Linked DNA regions of Elephas maximus indicus. The protein of the gene in region 2 purifies or fractionates together with the protein of the main gene of each other region. This does not show direct contact. Links are inferred from orthologs where the notes say so. Each region holds a gene or a part of one and is shown on either strand. Other genes may lie near its edges.

Region 1 (7,287 bases), on a different chromosome or scaffold from region 2:
AATGTCTAGGGCATTTCTCTAAAGTTGTTGTTAGCTGCTATCGAGTCGGCCCCCAACTTGTCGTGACCCCGTGTACAACAGGATGGGACCACTGTGATCTACAGGGTCTTCACTGATTTTCTGAAATAGATTGCCAGACCTTTCTTCCTAGTCTATCTTAGTCTGGAAGTGCCACAGAAACCTGTTCAGCATCATAGTAACACACAAGCTTCCACTGACATATAGGTGGTGGCTGTGCTTAAGGTATACTGGCCAGGAACCAAACTGGGCATTCCTGAGAATTCTACAAGCCTATTAATCCTGTCAAAAAAGAAAATGAGGCTAATTTTAATTTGATCACTCCCTAGCCAGCCCTGTCTCTATTAAACTTAGGAATATAAGTTTCCTAAGAATTATGTTATAGATCTATCTGACAGGGTCTCACTACATTTCTCCAAAAAGATAAACTTCTCAGTCTTCCTATTTTATGATTATCTACTTTTTAATATATGACTATCCCCCCTATCTCCCAATGAGGAGAGGGAAAAAAAGGTTTTCAGGCCAACTTGAGTACATAAACTTTTGTGGATATAGATAAAAGAATCAAATGTCTATTTACAATACCTATCATAGTAAGTTAGTTATACAGATTTTACATCACATACCATATAAAATAATATTCATATAGAAATTCTGCTTTTTTCCTAGTCAACATTTTATAAAGTAATTTTATTGACATTTTTCCAATGTATCTTTGGCATCTGTGTCTTCATGTTCACTAGAGTGATTGAGCCCCCTAACAGTTTTCTTCAAACCATGTTAACTTCCTTTTATTTACAAGCTGTTTGAACTGTAGCACTTTTTGAAGTCTTGTGATCTTTTAACCTAAGCCTAAATGTCCACTTTGCATACGTTACGGCAGTTTTTCCATTCTATATGTGTATCCCATAGATGTAGATCCATAATCTCTACATGGTAACCATTTACTAACTTTGACTTAAAGTAGCTTCAGATTTGTATCTCCTCCAAACAATACTTTTTATATCTCCTTCAAACAATACTCTTTTGAGTATGGGGGGGCAAGGAGGAGAGCTTGCCTCATATTCAGGTAATCAACAGGTCAAAAACTTCACAAGGTAGGAACCCAATTATTTCTTAAACACATTTTGATTAATAACATACACTACTGCTAGTAAACACTGACGCATTAACAATAGTCTTCAGAAGTTAACGAATTTCTTTCTGGACTAATACATTACAACTCTGCTATACCATCTGTTAGAAAAAGAAAGCAGAGTAGGATGGGATGCTCAACTCCTGTAAATTAGTTCTTAAAGAAACGGGACAGATGGAGAAATAGTTCCAGTAATTTATGTGTTTTTTTTTGGGTAGTGGTGGAAACAGATGGCGCAGTGGTTAAGAGCTACAGCTGCTAACCAAAAGGTCAACAGTTCGAATCCACCAGGTACTCCCTGGAAACCCTATGGGGCAGTTCCATTCTGTCCTACAAGGTTGCTATGAGTCGGAATAAACTAGACGGCAGCGGGTTTGGTTTTTTTGGTTTGGCGTAGTGGTTAAGAGCTGGGCTGCTAACCAAAAAGGCGGGCAGTTCAAATCCACCGGCCGCTCCTTGGAAACTCTATGGAGCAGTTCTACTCTGTCCTATACTATTGCTATGAGTCAGAACTGACTGGATGTCAACGGGTACGGGTATACGAATTAAGTGTCAGGTACTGTTTAAAGCATTTTACATACATTAATTCATTTAATCTTCACAATGTTCCTATGAAATAGGTGCTATTGATAACCTCCTTTCACTGATAAGTCAGGCTTAAGAAACTACCCCAAAGCCATACAGCTTGTAAGTTGCAGAAATTCAGGCAGTCGAGTTTAAAAGGCAAGACACTGCCTGTTAAGTTCGTAAAATTAGGTTTTCATTTTATAGGACAGTTTCACCTATTAAGCAATCAGTATCAGTGGCCTAAAGAAGACATAAAGGTGAGCATCCGGTATATTTTAATATTATTTTCTATTATCCATCCACACTGCCTGAAGGCATAATAATGGGTCTGAGGGAGGAACAGTTTATCCTTTGTTTTTATGTTTCCTGAGCAGATCACTATCCACATTTCAGTCAATGCTTTTAAGGAAAAGTTTCCTAACTATAAACACAAACACAGAACGAATTAGTACCATGTCTTCCTCATTCTCTTTCAAACTTTTTAACTGACGGTAGAGCACCTGTCCCTCTGGGCCTAGATCTACCTTGCCATCCCAAACACATAAAACTAAACGTTTTGATAAGGTAACTTTCCTAAGCCCTAAAACGATGGTAGCACTTCATCAGCTGTCATTTGGTTGGGTGCTGTAATGGGGGCGGGGGTGAGTGAGTGGAGGGGGGAGCAGTTTCTTAAGGAAAAACAAGAATTCAAGAAGAGGAGGTAGGGGCCTGGGAGGTAGGAGGGAAGGTGCGTCGTGCGGAAAAGGGAGGGAGGAAGGGGGTGGGGTTGGAGGCACTGCTCGGTCTGACTTGGAATTTCGTACAAATGAGGAAAACAGGGATTGAGGAGATGGGGGTCTGGTCATTGAAACCTGTTAGGCAGCATTTTACTGATTTTCTTTTTATTCGTCTTAGACTCTTGCTTCAGAAGAAACTGAGACCCCACGAGTACTAACGGCCCAATCCCTCAGGCCACAGTACGAGCATTCAGCCTCCCGGCCAGAGCTGGTCCCTTACAAGCACCGCTCCCCGTCAGCCCGCAGCCGGGCCTTTCACACGCCGGGCAACCGGCGGGAGGGACAACCAGAGCCTCTCGGCCGCAAGGCCAGGCACCCGCGTTCCGCTCCTCTGCGGCAGTCGCAGCTGATTCCCTTCCGGTGGGCAGCCCCTGGACACTCACACATCTCGTTGCTGAACCTGAACCTAGCCTATCTGAAGAGCTGAACCCGGCAGTCACAGAGTAAAAGCCAGGCTGCATTGAGAGTCTTACCTTTAACAGGTTAGACGTCGCCATGTTCCTTCAACTTACACTCTCGCGAGACAGCGCGAGATTTCGTGGGGCGCTGGACCAGGCCACAACTGGAGGCCGGAGTTCCCACCAGAGCCAACCGGCCGATGGGCCCCGCACCGAGGGTGTGGTGGGCGCGGGAGCGGCGTGCCGACAGCGCTGACCTTGGACCAGGCACCGGGAGCTTCCTTACTCTTTCCGCCTACATGGTCACCGGAGCTTCTCCACACGAAAGAGCTCATGCAAACGCTCAGGGCGACCAGAGCAGCGAATGGTGAAAAGGTAACGGGAGCCGACCTGACGTGGTTGAGGAAGCATCGACTCCACGAGCCTCCCTCACACCTTCGGATTAGCCTTTACGGTTGCCCCCGCAGCGGCCACCGGCAACGAAATTAGCTCGGTTTAGGCCCCACAGCTCAGGTTCCGCGGCCGCATCACGTGACGCGGCGGGCGGGGGCGCGCACGGGAGCGAGCGTGGGAGCCTGGAGCCTTGGTGGGACCGGAGGCCGCGTAGGGGGCTGGAGTACGCCCTCTGCTGGCGGGACCCGGCGTTTCCCGGCGTGCTCCCCCCACTCCCCGTCCCCAATCTGGGGATTCGGTTTTCAGGGATGGAACTGTGTGATCCCGAAATGCTTGTAGCAGCTGTCTTCAGTCAGAACTGACACAGACAAGGCGCCCAGTAAATATTTGTTGAATGAATGCACCAAAGTGACACTGTTCATGTTTCTATTCAAGAGCGCGTGGCACTTAGATATCCTGTAAAAGATTGTCGAGGAATGAGTATTAGTCCTGGATTGCATTAAGGCATATTTTCCTAAAAGATGCTGAACCCTAAGTCCTCAAGCTTTATCCCCTCAGACCACAGACCACTGGCCTAGACAAGAGAATGTAATTTGTACAGAGAACAGTATAGCTGGCATTGTATTATATGTGTTTACAAACAGTATTCATTCTTACATTCATAATATGTTACAAATTAATAAGAGCTATGAAGTAAAATAAAAGGGGGGATGAAGATGTAATTTTAAGTAAAGTGGCCTGAGTAGGCCTCAATGAAAAGATGGCGTTTGAGTAAAGATGTGAAGGAGGTAAGGGAGCCAGCCCATACTATATGTGGGGGAAGAGCATTCCAGACAGAGGGAAAAGCAGGGGAATGTACCTGAGATGGCAGGGTGCCCAGAGCATCCAAGAAACAGGTCAGTGTGTCTGGAGCAGAGAGAGAAAGGAGAGTAGTGAGATCATATAGGACCTTGTAACCAAACCAAACCCACTGCCATCAGGTCGATTCCAACTCATAGCAACCCTATAGGACAGAGTAGAACTGCTCCATAGACTTTCCAAGGAGCGCCTGGTGGATTTGAACTGCTGACCTCTTGGTTAACAGCCATAGCACTTAACCACTACACCACCAGGGTTTCCATAGGACCTTGTAGGCCACTGTTATTCTTAGCTACCATCAGGTTTGCCCCCGACCCAAAACAGAATATTTGGGGATTGGACAATTGCGATGCATAGGATTTTTATGGAGCCCTGGTGGCACAGTAGTTAAAAGCTTGGCTGCTAACCAGAAGGTCAGCAGTTCATATCCACTTGCCGCTCCTTGGAAACTGTGGGTCCTGTAGGGTCGCTATGAGTGATTTTTGGAAGTAGATCACTAGGCCTTTCTTCTAGTCCTGCTACCTACTCTGGAAGCTCCACTGAAACCTGTTCAGCATCATAGCAACATGAAAGCCTCTACTGACAGATGGGTGGTAGCTGCACATGAGGTGCATTGACTGGGAATCGAACCCAGGCCTCCTACGTGGAAAGCGAGAATTCTACCACAGAACCACCAGCGCCCCCTTAAACTGCTGGCTTTTATTCTAAATGAGATGGGAAATCGTTGCAGGGTTTAGAACCCATTTTAATCTGATTACTCTGACTACTGTGTAGTGAATAGAAACAGGAAGATCGTTTAGAAGGCTTTTGAAATCTCATTTAATCCAAATGAATTGATGGAGAGTAACCTAAAACCAAAGCCAAACCCATTGCCATCAAGCTGATTCTGACTCATAGCAATCCTGTTGCCCCATAGGGTTCCCAAGGCTCTAACCTTTATGGAAGCAGACTGCCACATCTTTGTTCTGTGGTGCAGCTTGTGAGTTCAAACTGCCAACCTTTCGGTTAGCAGTCACGTGCTTAACCAGAGCACCACCAGGGCTCCTTCAGAGAGTAACCTAGTCAAACTTAAACAATTACTGAGTGATAGAACAATGATTAAGAGCCACAATGCCTATAATGTCCTGGCAGAATGTTAACAAAGGGAGACTAAACTTAAGAGATCATCTTTGTTCTACAAATGAGAAAATTGAGGCTCATAGAGATGACCTGGCCAAGATCACTCAGTTGTAGGGGCCTTCCTATGGAAAATAGTGCCTATGGTAATTAGTTTTAAACTGCTGAATAATCTCTCACATCTGGAGGTGGAAACTGCAATGGCCAATACAAACTTTTCATTAGTGCCCTCCTCAAATGGCCATGGAAACCCTGGTGGTATAGTGGTTAGAGCTATAGCTGCTAACCGAAAGGTCGGCAGTTCAAATCCACCGAGTACTCCTAGGAAACTATGGGGCAGCTCTACCGTGTCCAGTAGGGTCACTGTTAGTCGGAATTGACTCAACAGCAATGGGTTTAGTTTTTTAGTTCAAGCAGCCATGCCTTAGTTAGCACCTCTACTCAGCTGGCCTCACAAAAAAGGCCTAGTCAATAAACTTTATGTAATTATGTTTTCCAGTGCAACTGGGTTATCCTCAACCCTAGTCCAGTTCTACTGCTTAATTTAAAATGTAAGACTCTAGGTTAGACTATAATCAACGCATGCACCCTAAAAGAGAAGTGAGGTGACAAAATGTGATGTAACAATTGATGAATAAATGAACTAATGACCCTACTTAAAGAATCCCATTAAATATTTAATACTTGTTTGAGCATCTGTTATGCAGTAGACACCAGAAATGCAGGATTAAGTAAGACAGAAGACCCCTGCTCTCTTGGACCTTATGGTCTAGTCAGGGAGCCAGATGTTAAGCATGGTTACACAAACCAAATATTCCTTAATTGGAGTTGTGATAAATGCTGTGAAAGAAATACACAATGTGCACCTGAGAATTTAGTTAATGATATTAATATTGAATTTAGGGGGAAGTGAAGGTATATTTGCAGTTTACTTTGAAATGTATCAAAGCAGAAGAGGGATAGAAAAATTGAGAAAGCAAATAAAGCAAGTATGTTGTCGTTGTTAGGTTCCAACTCTTAGTAACCCTGTGTACAACAAAACAAAACACTGCCTGGTCCTGCGCCATCCTCACAATTGTTATGCTTGAGTGCATTATTGCGGCTACACAACCCATATCGTTGAGGGTCTTCCTCTTTTTCGATAACCCTCTACCGAGCATGATGTCCTTCTCTAGGGACTGATCCCCCTTGATAACACGTGCAAAGTATGTGAGACGTAGTCTCGCCATCCTTCTGAGAAGCATTCCAGTTGTACTTCTTCCAAGGCAGATTTGTTCGTTCTTTTGGCAGTCTGTGGTATATTTTGTATTCTTCGCCAACACCATAATTCAAAGGCATCAATTCTTCACTGATCTTCCTTATTCATCGTCCAGCTTCCACACGCATATGAAGTGATTGAAAACACTGTAATTTGGGTCAGGCGCACCTTAGTCTTCAAGGTGACATCTTTGCTTTTTAACACTTTATCAAGGTCTTTTGCAGCAGATTTGCCCAATGTAGTGTCACATTTGATTTCTTAACTGCTGCTTCCATGAGCATTGATTGTGGATCCAGGTAAAATGAAAACCTTGACAACTTCAGTCTTTTCTCTGTTTATCATGATGTTGCTTATTGGTCCAGTAGTGAGGATTTTTGTTTTCTTTATGCTGAGGTGTAATCCATACTGAAGGCTGTGGTCTTTGAACTTCAGTAAGTGCTTCAAGTCCTCTTCACTTTCAGCACGCAAGGTTGTATCATTTGCATAATGCAGGTTATTAATAAGTCTTCCTCCAATCCTGATGCCTAGTTCTTCTTCATATAGTCCAGCTTCTCAGATTATTTGCTCAGTATACAGGTTGAATAGGTATGGTGAAAGGATATAGCCCTGACACACACCTTTCCTGACTTTAAACCGCACAGTATCCTCTTGTTCTGTTTGAACAGCTGCCTCTTGATCTATGTACAGGTTTCTCTTGAGCACAATTAAGTGTTCTGGAATTCCCATTCTTTGCAATGTTATCCATAATTTTTTATGATCCACACAGTC
Region 2 (7,028 bases):
GAAGAAAACATGTTTGGCTCCCATCCCATAGCTGATGTTGGGGTTCCAAATGGAATCTGGACATTTATATTCTCCACACAACATGCTGGCTCCTAACAGCAGTCAACCAAACGTTTGTACACAAATACCTAGCTCTTCTTCAATTCATCAGAAAAAGCCCCTGGACCAAAAAATGTAATTCTCCAGTGCCCTGAACTAAGCTTCTTTGCAGAGCTACAGCCCAATTTGCTCTGCGGCAGACATCTGTATTGTGCTCAATATGAAGGTTGGTGACAGAGCAACCAATGACCATTAAATTCTGCTTCCAAAGGCAAAAAACCGTATAATGTTATATGCCTTTTCCTCTTCCTAATCTATTAGACGTAGCAGCTAATTTCACGTCACACCTCATATTTGGAGTCTCTAGAATCCTAGACCAAGTCCTGGTCAATATGGAACAAAGGCAATGCAAACCACAAGAAAATTAGCAATCTAACCTATGTCATTACCCATAGCTTCAATCCCATCCTCCCCCGATCTGATGAAAATTTCATCCCCACTGGCGAGTGGAGCATCAAATGCAGAGCCTACCACAAAAAAGCTATTGCAGCAGCCACACACTTTTCAAGACCTGAGCTCCCAGCATGAGTTCAGTGGGAGGCAAATGCAGAAATACTGGCCTACCTGAACCGGCAACAAGCATCGACCTACCGATTTCTTTAGGGAGTTTGAGTTTGGTCTGACACCCAGAATGAGCCCAGGGCACAGTTGTTCAGAAGGAGCAACAGAGGCAAATCAACCCCACACCTTCCTCCTGGAGGACCCAAGTTCCCTTGAAAAGAGAATTTCATGGATGAGTGATTCCCAGTCCAGGTCATACTTCTGGGGAGGATCAACTGGGAGGTTTTTTTTTTTTTTAATTCAAATTCTTGAGCCCTAGACATACTGATCTCATAAAGTCCCCCCCCCCAAGTGATTCTACTGCACAGTAAGGTTATCAATTTATTCATCCTGTTATTTAGCCCGGGCTTGTGGCTGCCAAGACATCTCGGGAATCTATCACATAAGCCACACCAACACCAATTCAAATCTAAGAACCCATCCAAAAGCACAAACCACAATGGCAGTTACCACAAGGGAAGTCTCATTTCATCGACACAAAAGTTGACAGCTTTCTAAACCAATACTGGATGTGTGAGAACAGTCCACGCTTCAGAAACACAGGAAAACAAGCAGCTCAATGTCTAAGTCTGGAATTTTCATCAATTGCCCTAGAGCTGACGTACTAATGTCTATACCTCATACTGAGAGTTCTCACATGGGCTTGAGAACAAACCTATTCTCTATTCTCACAGACACTGGTCAGCACACAAAAGCCTGGGACAGCCAGAAAGCATTAACTTTGAGTAGAGATGCCCAACTGATTACTGGCCCACAACTGCCCAAGTTCATCCCCTCATCTGTATGCATGAGTGAGGAAGGGGGTGAAGTGCTGGTACACAGACAGAATAACAAGCAAGGCGGTCAACATGCAACACCAGCTTTCTGCCCCAAAGGCCAAACGTTTACAGCAACCTCCCTACCAGGGGTAATTGTAATACCCAATTTGGAAAAGCAAAAAAGAAAAAGAAACGGGGTGGGTGCATGGTTTCAAGTCATCTCCAGACTCAAACCTTGCTAGTCAGTTGAGAAACATCATGAGGTGTGAACTCAAGGGTTAAAGTTGTTCCCACAATTTCCACCAGTTCCAAAGGGACCTAATGGAAGCTGTCACCATCTTCAGCCCTAAGTCTCTGCCACCTCCAGAACACCAAATCTTACGAATTGGCAGAGCGCCTGTTAGCAGTAGAAAAAAAGAGGAAATGAAACAAGAAAAGGAAGTTTGTCAGCCAGTTCCCCATGCGGTCTCACCTCCCCGCGTCCAGCTCCCGGCCCGCAGAGCCACCCATGTCTGTCAGGCTCGCAGCTGAAGCAGCCAGCTCTCCAGAAGGCCTCTTGCCGGTCCCATCACCACTGCCGGATCCACCGTTGCAGCTCTTCGTACGAAAGAGGCGACTGAGACGGATTTTGAGGGAGCCCTTCCGAGAAGGACCCGCGAGTGGCCGGAGGGGCCCCGGAGGCGGCGGGGGCGGGAGAGGTTGCTGCGGCTGCTCCCCTCTACTCAAGCGCGCTCGGGGAACCAAGTCCTGCAGCGGGAAGGGTACGGCGGGTAATTCGGGGCCTGGGGGCTGCAGCAGAAGCCGGCCGCCCCCTCCTCCTCCGCGGCCCGGGCTGCTGAGCTCCTCTTCCGAGCAGCTGTTAGTCTCCAGGCTCTCGGCCTCGGATTCCAAGCCCTCCAAGACCAGCAGCGCGTCGCTCGTCTCCGTGGGGTCCTCCCCGGCCTGCGGGGTGGCAGCAGGCGGCTGAGGCTGCGGAGGGGGCGGCTGCGCGGGGCACGGGCACGGGCAGCAACCCGCACCGACCATCTTGACCCCCGGCCCCGCCGGTTGCCCGAGCCCCAGAGCCGCCAACTGTGCCTCTAGTCCAGCCGCCGGGCCCCAGGTCCGCTCGTGCGCCAGCCCCGACGGCAGGGCCTTGGGGTCCAGAGCACAGCGGTGCCGGGGGCACAGCAGTTCCGAGGGTCCGGGCTCCGGGGCCGCCTCCGCGTCCTCCTCCTCCGGCGGCCGACCCACGTTGCGGAACACCATCAGCTGCGGTGGCCGGGAGCCCCGCGGGCCCGGCCGCGCGAGGAAAGGTGGTGGCTGGGGGCCATGGCCGGGGGGCGGCGGCGGCGGGCCTGGCTCCGGGGCCGCCTCTCCATAGCCGAGCAGGCGGCTCAGGACGCGGTACGAAGCGGCCGCCGCCGCCTCGCCATCCCGGAGCTCGGCCCCCTGCATCGGGGAGAGGGAGGGAGGGCGGGCGGCTGGGAGCCGGGCTGGGGTGGGGACTAGGCCGGGCCCCGCCGGAGCCCCGCCCGCCGCGGCCCCCGGAGAGACAGCGCGAACGGCCGCCGCGGCCTCTGCCTCATAGAGGGGGGCGGGGGGCGCGCGGAGCGCAGCGCGAGCCCAGGACGCGCGCCGCCGCCGCCGCCACCGAGGACCGCCCCCCGATGGCGTCACTTCCGGGAGGCCGTGGGCACGCCTTTTTCCTCGAGGGCGTGCTCGCGTCGCCTCCACGGCGCGTGACGTTGCGGGCGACCCGGGCCGCTATTGGACGTGAGCTGCCTCCATGCTGGCTGTTGGTCGTCTGCTTCGACCCTTGCTTTTCACTTCCCGGGTGCTGGGGCTCTGCCTAGCCCTCTCAGTAAGGTGCAGCGGCCCTGCAAGGCTGGTCTGGTCACGGCAGAGAGCCGCTGGCCTTGGGAACACCTCTGGTTCTGGTCTAGCCTATGTCGCTTGTGATGTATGACCTTGGCCGAGTCACTTCATCGTAAATTTGTTTCCCCGTTCCCTCACTCCTCACCCCTGGCCGCCAATGAATATTTGTTGAATGATAACATGAATATATGTGTTCTAGACCCAGGGGTGTGCTGATCATGTTCAATAACCGGTTCTCTGGTGGAGGAGTGTATGCATACAAAGGTATATAAGTTCATCATAAATTTTACTGATATAAAGGATGTGTGGTATAAAATTGAGAAATAACATACAATTGCAATGGGTAACCAACCTATGGTTGCAGTTGATCAAGGAGTATAGTTGTAGCGTGAATGCTGGTTGACATTTTCTTCTGTGTTAATGGAAGTGGAGAAAAAAATGACTGGATTGTCAGTGATGGGAGCCGCCTTGCTGAATCAGAAAGCAAGGGTTCAAATACAGGAGGAAGATTTCCTCAATTTCTGTGCCATTCACAATGTAACAGCTACCATATGACATTATGTTTAAATTTAACATGACATTATGTTTAAATTCAGTATGATACTGTGTTTAAATCTGAATGATTAATAGTTTCTCCATCCTTTGCTTCAATCTAGATAATCAACAAAACAATAAATCAAGCTCGATTTGTATCTCTGTTTGATTTCCCTGGTATAAATACGCCCACCGTGGCTGCTTTTGAGCTACCAGCTTGACTTTTTTGAACAGAGTTAGGAAGAAATGAGCAAATAGCATACCATTATATAATAGTGCCACCATACAACGGATATAAATAACCCCAAAGCATAGATAATAGTAAAATAATTAGTAAGTGGTGAGTTTTGAGAATTTATCATCTTTATTTTTTAATTTAATTTATTTCATTGTAATTTTATATAATTTTATAGTGGCTATGTTTAACAACCAGCTTGAAGAATTTCTGAAAATTTAACAGTTGGCTTTCATGAAATGCTACAGGCTGGTTCCCGAACACCACCAGGCTTCAATTTCCTCATCGGTAAAACAGATAAAGATTGCTGTTTTGCTTACTTGCAGGAATGTTACAAGGATTAAGGAAGATCAAGCTTGTTGGGTAAAGGAGGTGGGACTGGAGGCAGGGAGAGCAGTCAGGAATCCACTGCACTTGTCCCAGTGAGAGATGAAGAGGAGTGCAAGCAGGCAGGAAGGATCAGCAGAATTTAGCAACTTAAGTACCTGGGGGCGCAGCAAGGGGAAGAGGGTTGAGTCCTGCAGCGAGAGGGACACTTTCAAAATGAAAATTTATTCATACCCCTTGATTACAACAGTTCCTGTTTTCCCATTGCTCTTAGGATAAAGACAAAACTCCTTAAATCGGCCTACAGGGCCCTGTGTGGCCCCTGCCTCTTTCTCGCCATGTCTCCCACCAAGCTCCCCCTTGTTATCTCTCTCCTGCAGTCCCACCAACCTTGTGTCGGGCTCCCAGGCGTATGGCCACTGCGCAAGCTGTTCCCTTTTCTTGGAAGGTTTTTCTCTCTTTTTGCTTAGTCACCTCCCATTCATTCTTCAGATTGAACTCCCTTCTTACTTCTTCAGGGAAATCCTGCCTGGGCACTTCCTCCTCACCAAGCTCAGAGACCATTCCTTTGTCGCATTTAATTGCACAGGTGTAATTTGTCATTAAGGAGCCCTGGTGATGCAATGGTTAAAGGGCTCAGCTGCTAACCAAAAGGTCAGAGGTTGGAACCCACCAGCCAATCCACAGAAGAAAAGACCTGGCGATCTGTTTCAGTAAAGACTACAGCCTAGGAAACCCTATGGGTCAGTTGTACTCTGTTCTATAGGGTCAATATGAGTCAGAATCGATTCAAAGGCACACCACAACAATTTATTTTCTTTCCATGGGGTTGTTTGATGAGAGTCTGTCTTCCTTATGAAGCTATATGCTCCATGAGGGCAAGGGCCATATTTGTTTTTTGCCCATCATGGAGCCTTTGGTGTCAAAGACGGTGCCTGGCGCAGATTAGGCCGTTGATAGGTAAGTATGGAGCTGTTGTTCAACTTCAGGCATTGCAAAAGGCTCCTGATACAAATTCATGTCTAATTCTGCACAACAGAATATCTTTCCGTGCACATGAAGAAACTGAAGTTCAAAGAGTTACTTACCTAAGGTCAAACAAAAAAAAAGGTGCAGTAAAATTCAAAACCAGCTCTGCCTGACTCTGACTCCACAGATTTCATTCTCTACCCTCCCTCCCCTGCTACCTGTCAGGTGTTACTTAGGTTTCTAGCAGAAAAGAAGAGCAACTGCTGTAGGATCTCAGAACCCCTGAAGCCTAAGAGGCTACCTAAGATCCCGGACTGTCTCTGGGAAGCTCTGGCCCAAGAACAGAATCCCTGACAAAAGGCAAGGTTTCTGGCTCTGCACCGCCCTCTCCTGTCCAACTGCTTCCCTGGCCGCAGAAGAAAGCTATGTCCACCACCTTCACTTGCACCACCAGGGAACACACACGGGCTCTTTCAAAGGCTGAGTAAAGAATGCGGCATTTCTCATTTCCTTAATTTTCCAGCCTGTAGCCCAGGTCCTGGGAAAAGCATTGAAAATTAAGCTCTAAGCAAAGGAAGTGTATTTTTGTGCTTTATGACTTAAATGTGTGTTTGTTATGTCTATACATACCACTTTCATTAAGGGCTGTAAAGTGGTCCCAGCAGCGGTAGGATCCTAGTCAGAAAGATGCGTGAAAAACAACTTAGAGAATCTAAAGAAGTTCTGAGGTTCATTCAGTCAGTCAACGTTCATTGAGCACCTACAGTGCCCAGTGGGCTATGGTTTGTGGGTGCAGTGATAAGTGAGATGGACACTGTCTCTGCTTTTCTGGAGCTTGCACAGTCTAGTTTGAGTCCTAATCATGCCATTTCCTGGATGTATAACCAAGAGCAAATAATTAAACATCTTTGTATCTGTGTTTCCTTTGTAACAGTGGTTCAGTAATAGTCCCCCCCGCCCTTACAGGGCTGTTGGGATTAAATGAAAAATTATATGTAAAGGTGCTTAACAAATGCTAAAACACCATACATATGGTCATGATTACGGTAAACCTGTGAAAGCTGTAACCTGTGTAAGGTGGAAACCAGTCAGAGAAGGAAAACTCAAATATTTTCCACTAAAACAAGGGATAGAAAAGTGGCAAGACTGCACCCTGTCAAAGGTGGAAAACTTTCAAGACCCGGAAAAAACAAGGCAGTCCCATCAAGTTCCAGCTCTCACAAATTTCACTATATTATGAAAAGCTTTTGGGAGGGGGAAATCGTGTTAACTTAGTGTGATATCTTCACCCAGTGTTTTGTTGACCCTCAACTACCAATAAGCAGTAATAGCAGGAAGGTAGACTGGGTCACTGAATCCTCTTCATCCCTTGTCTCTGTTAGACACAGAATCAGAGACGTCAAGGAAGATCCCCAGCGTGCCAGTCACTAGCTTTGTGGGATGTCACCTTCCTCTCAGGGTTTTAGTTTCCTTTCTATTAGAAAAAGGCCTGGACTGTGGGCCCTTCTAGTTCTGACATAGCAGGGATTCTCCTGGGGGCTTGACCTCTAACCCCAGCCCTTATCCTCACACTTAGGATTCCACAGCAGAACTGTTGTTTGCAGAGGCCATCTATAAAGCATGAGAAGTTTTCAGCAACACCATCCATTCCTTCCTACATGCACTCAGTGATCTGGATATCAAAGGGT

Evidence for each region. The genes of interacting proteins can lie anywhere in the genome.
Region 1: the proteins of SOCS7 (region 2) and CUL5 purify together in Homo sapiens (affinity purification with mass spectrometry; 4 studies listed by BioGRID and IntAct, counting the BioPlex papers as one, with this or other methods). This does not show direct contact. The link is inferred for Elephas maximus indicus from reciprocal best matches to the Homo sapiens genes SOCS7 and CUL5.

Annotation. Positions count from the first base shown.
Region 1 is NC_064825.1:11,657,379-11,664,665, forward strand, and holds the start of CUL5 (cullin-5), read right to left. Parts: upstream 3,060-7,287; 5' UTR 2,994-3,059; coding exon 2,970-2,993; intron 1-2,969. UniProt on the Homo sapiens protein: Core component of multiple cullin-5-RING E3 ubiquitin-protein ligase complexes (ECS complexes, also named CRL5 complexes), which mediate the ubiquitination and subsequent proteasomal degradation of target proteins.
Region 2 is NC_064837.1:45,971,224-45,978,251, reverse strand, and holds the start of SOCS7 (suppressor of cytokine signaling 7), read right to left. Parts: upstream 3,060-7,028; 5' UTR 2,856-3,059; coding exon 1,891-2,855; intron 1-1,890. UniProt on the Homo sapiens protein: Substrate-recognition component of a cullin-5-RING E3 ubiquitin-protein ligase complex (ECS complex, also named CRL5 complex), which mediates the ubiquitination and subsequent proteasomal degradation of target proteins, such as DAB1 and IRS1.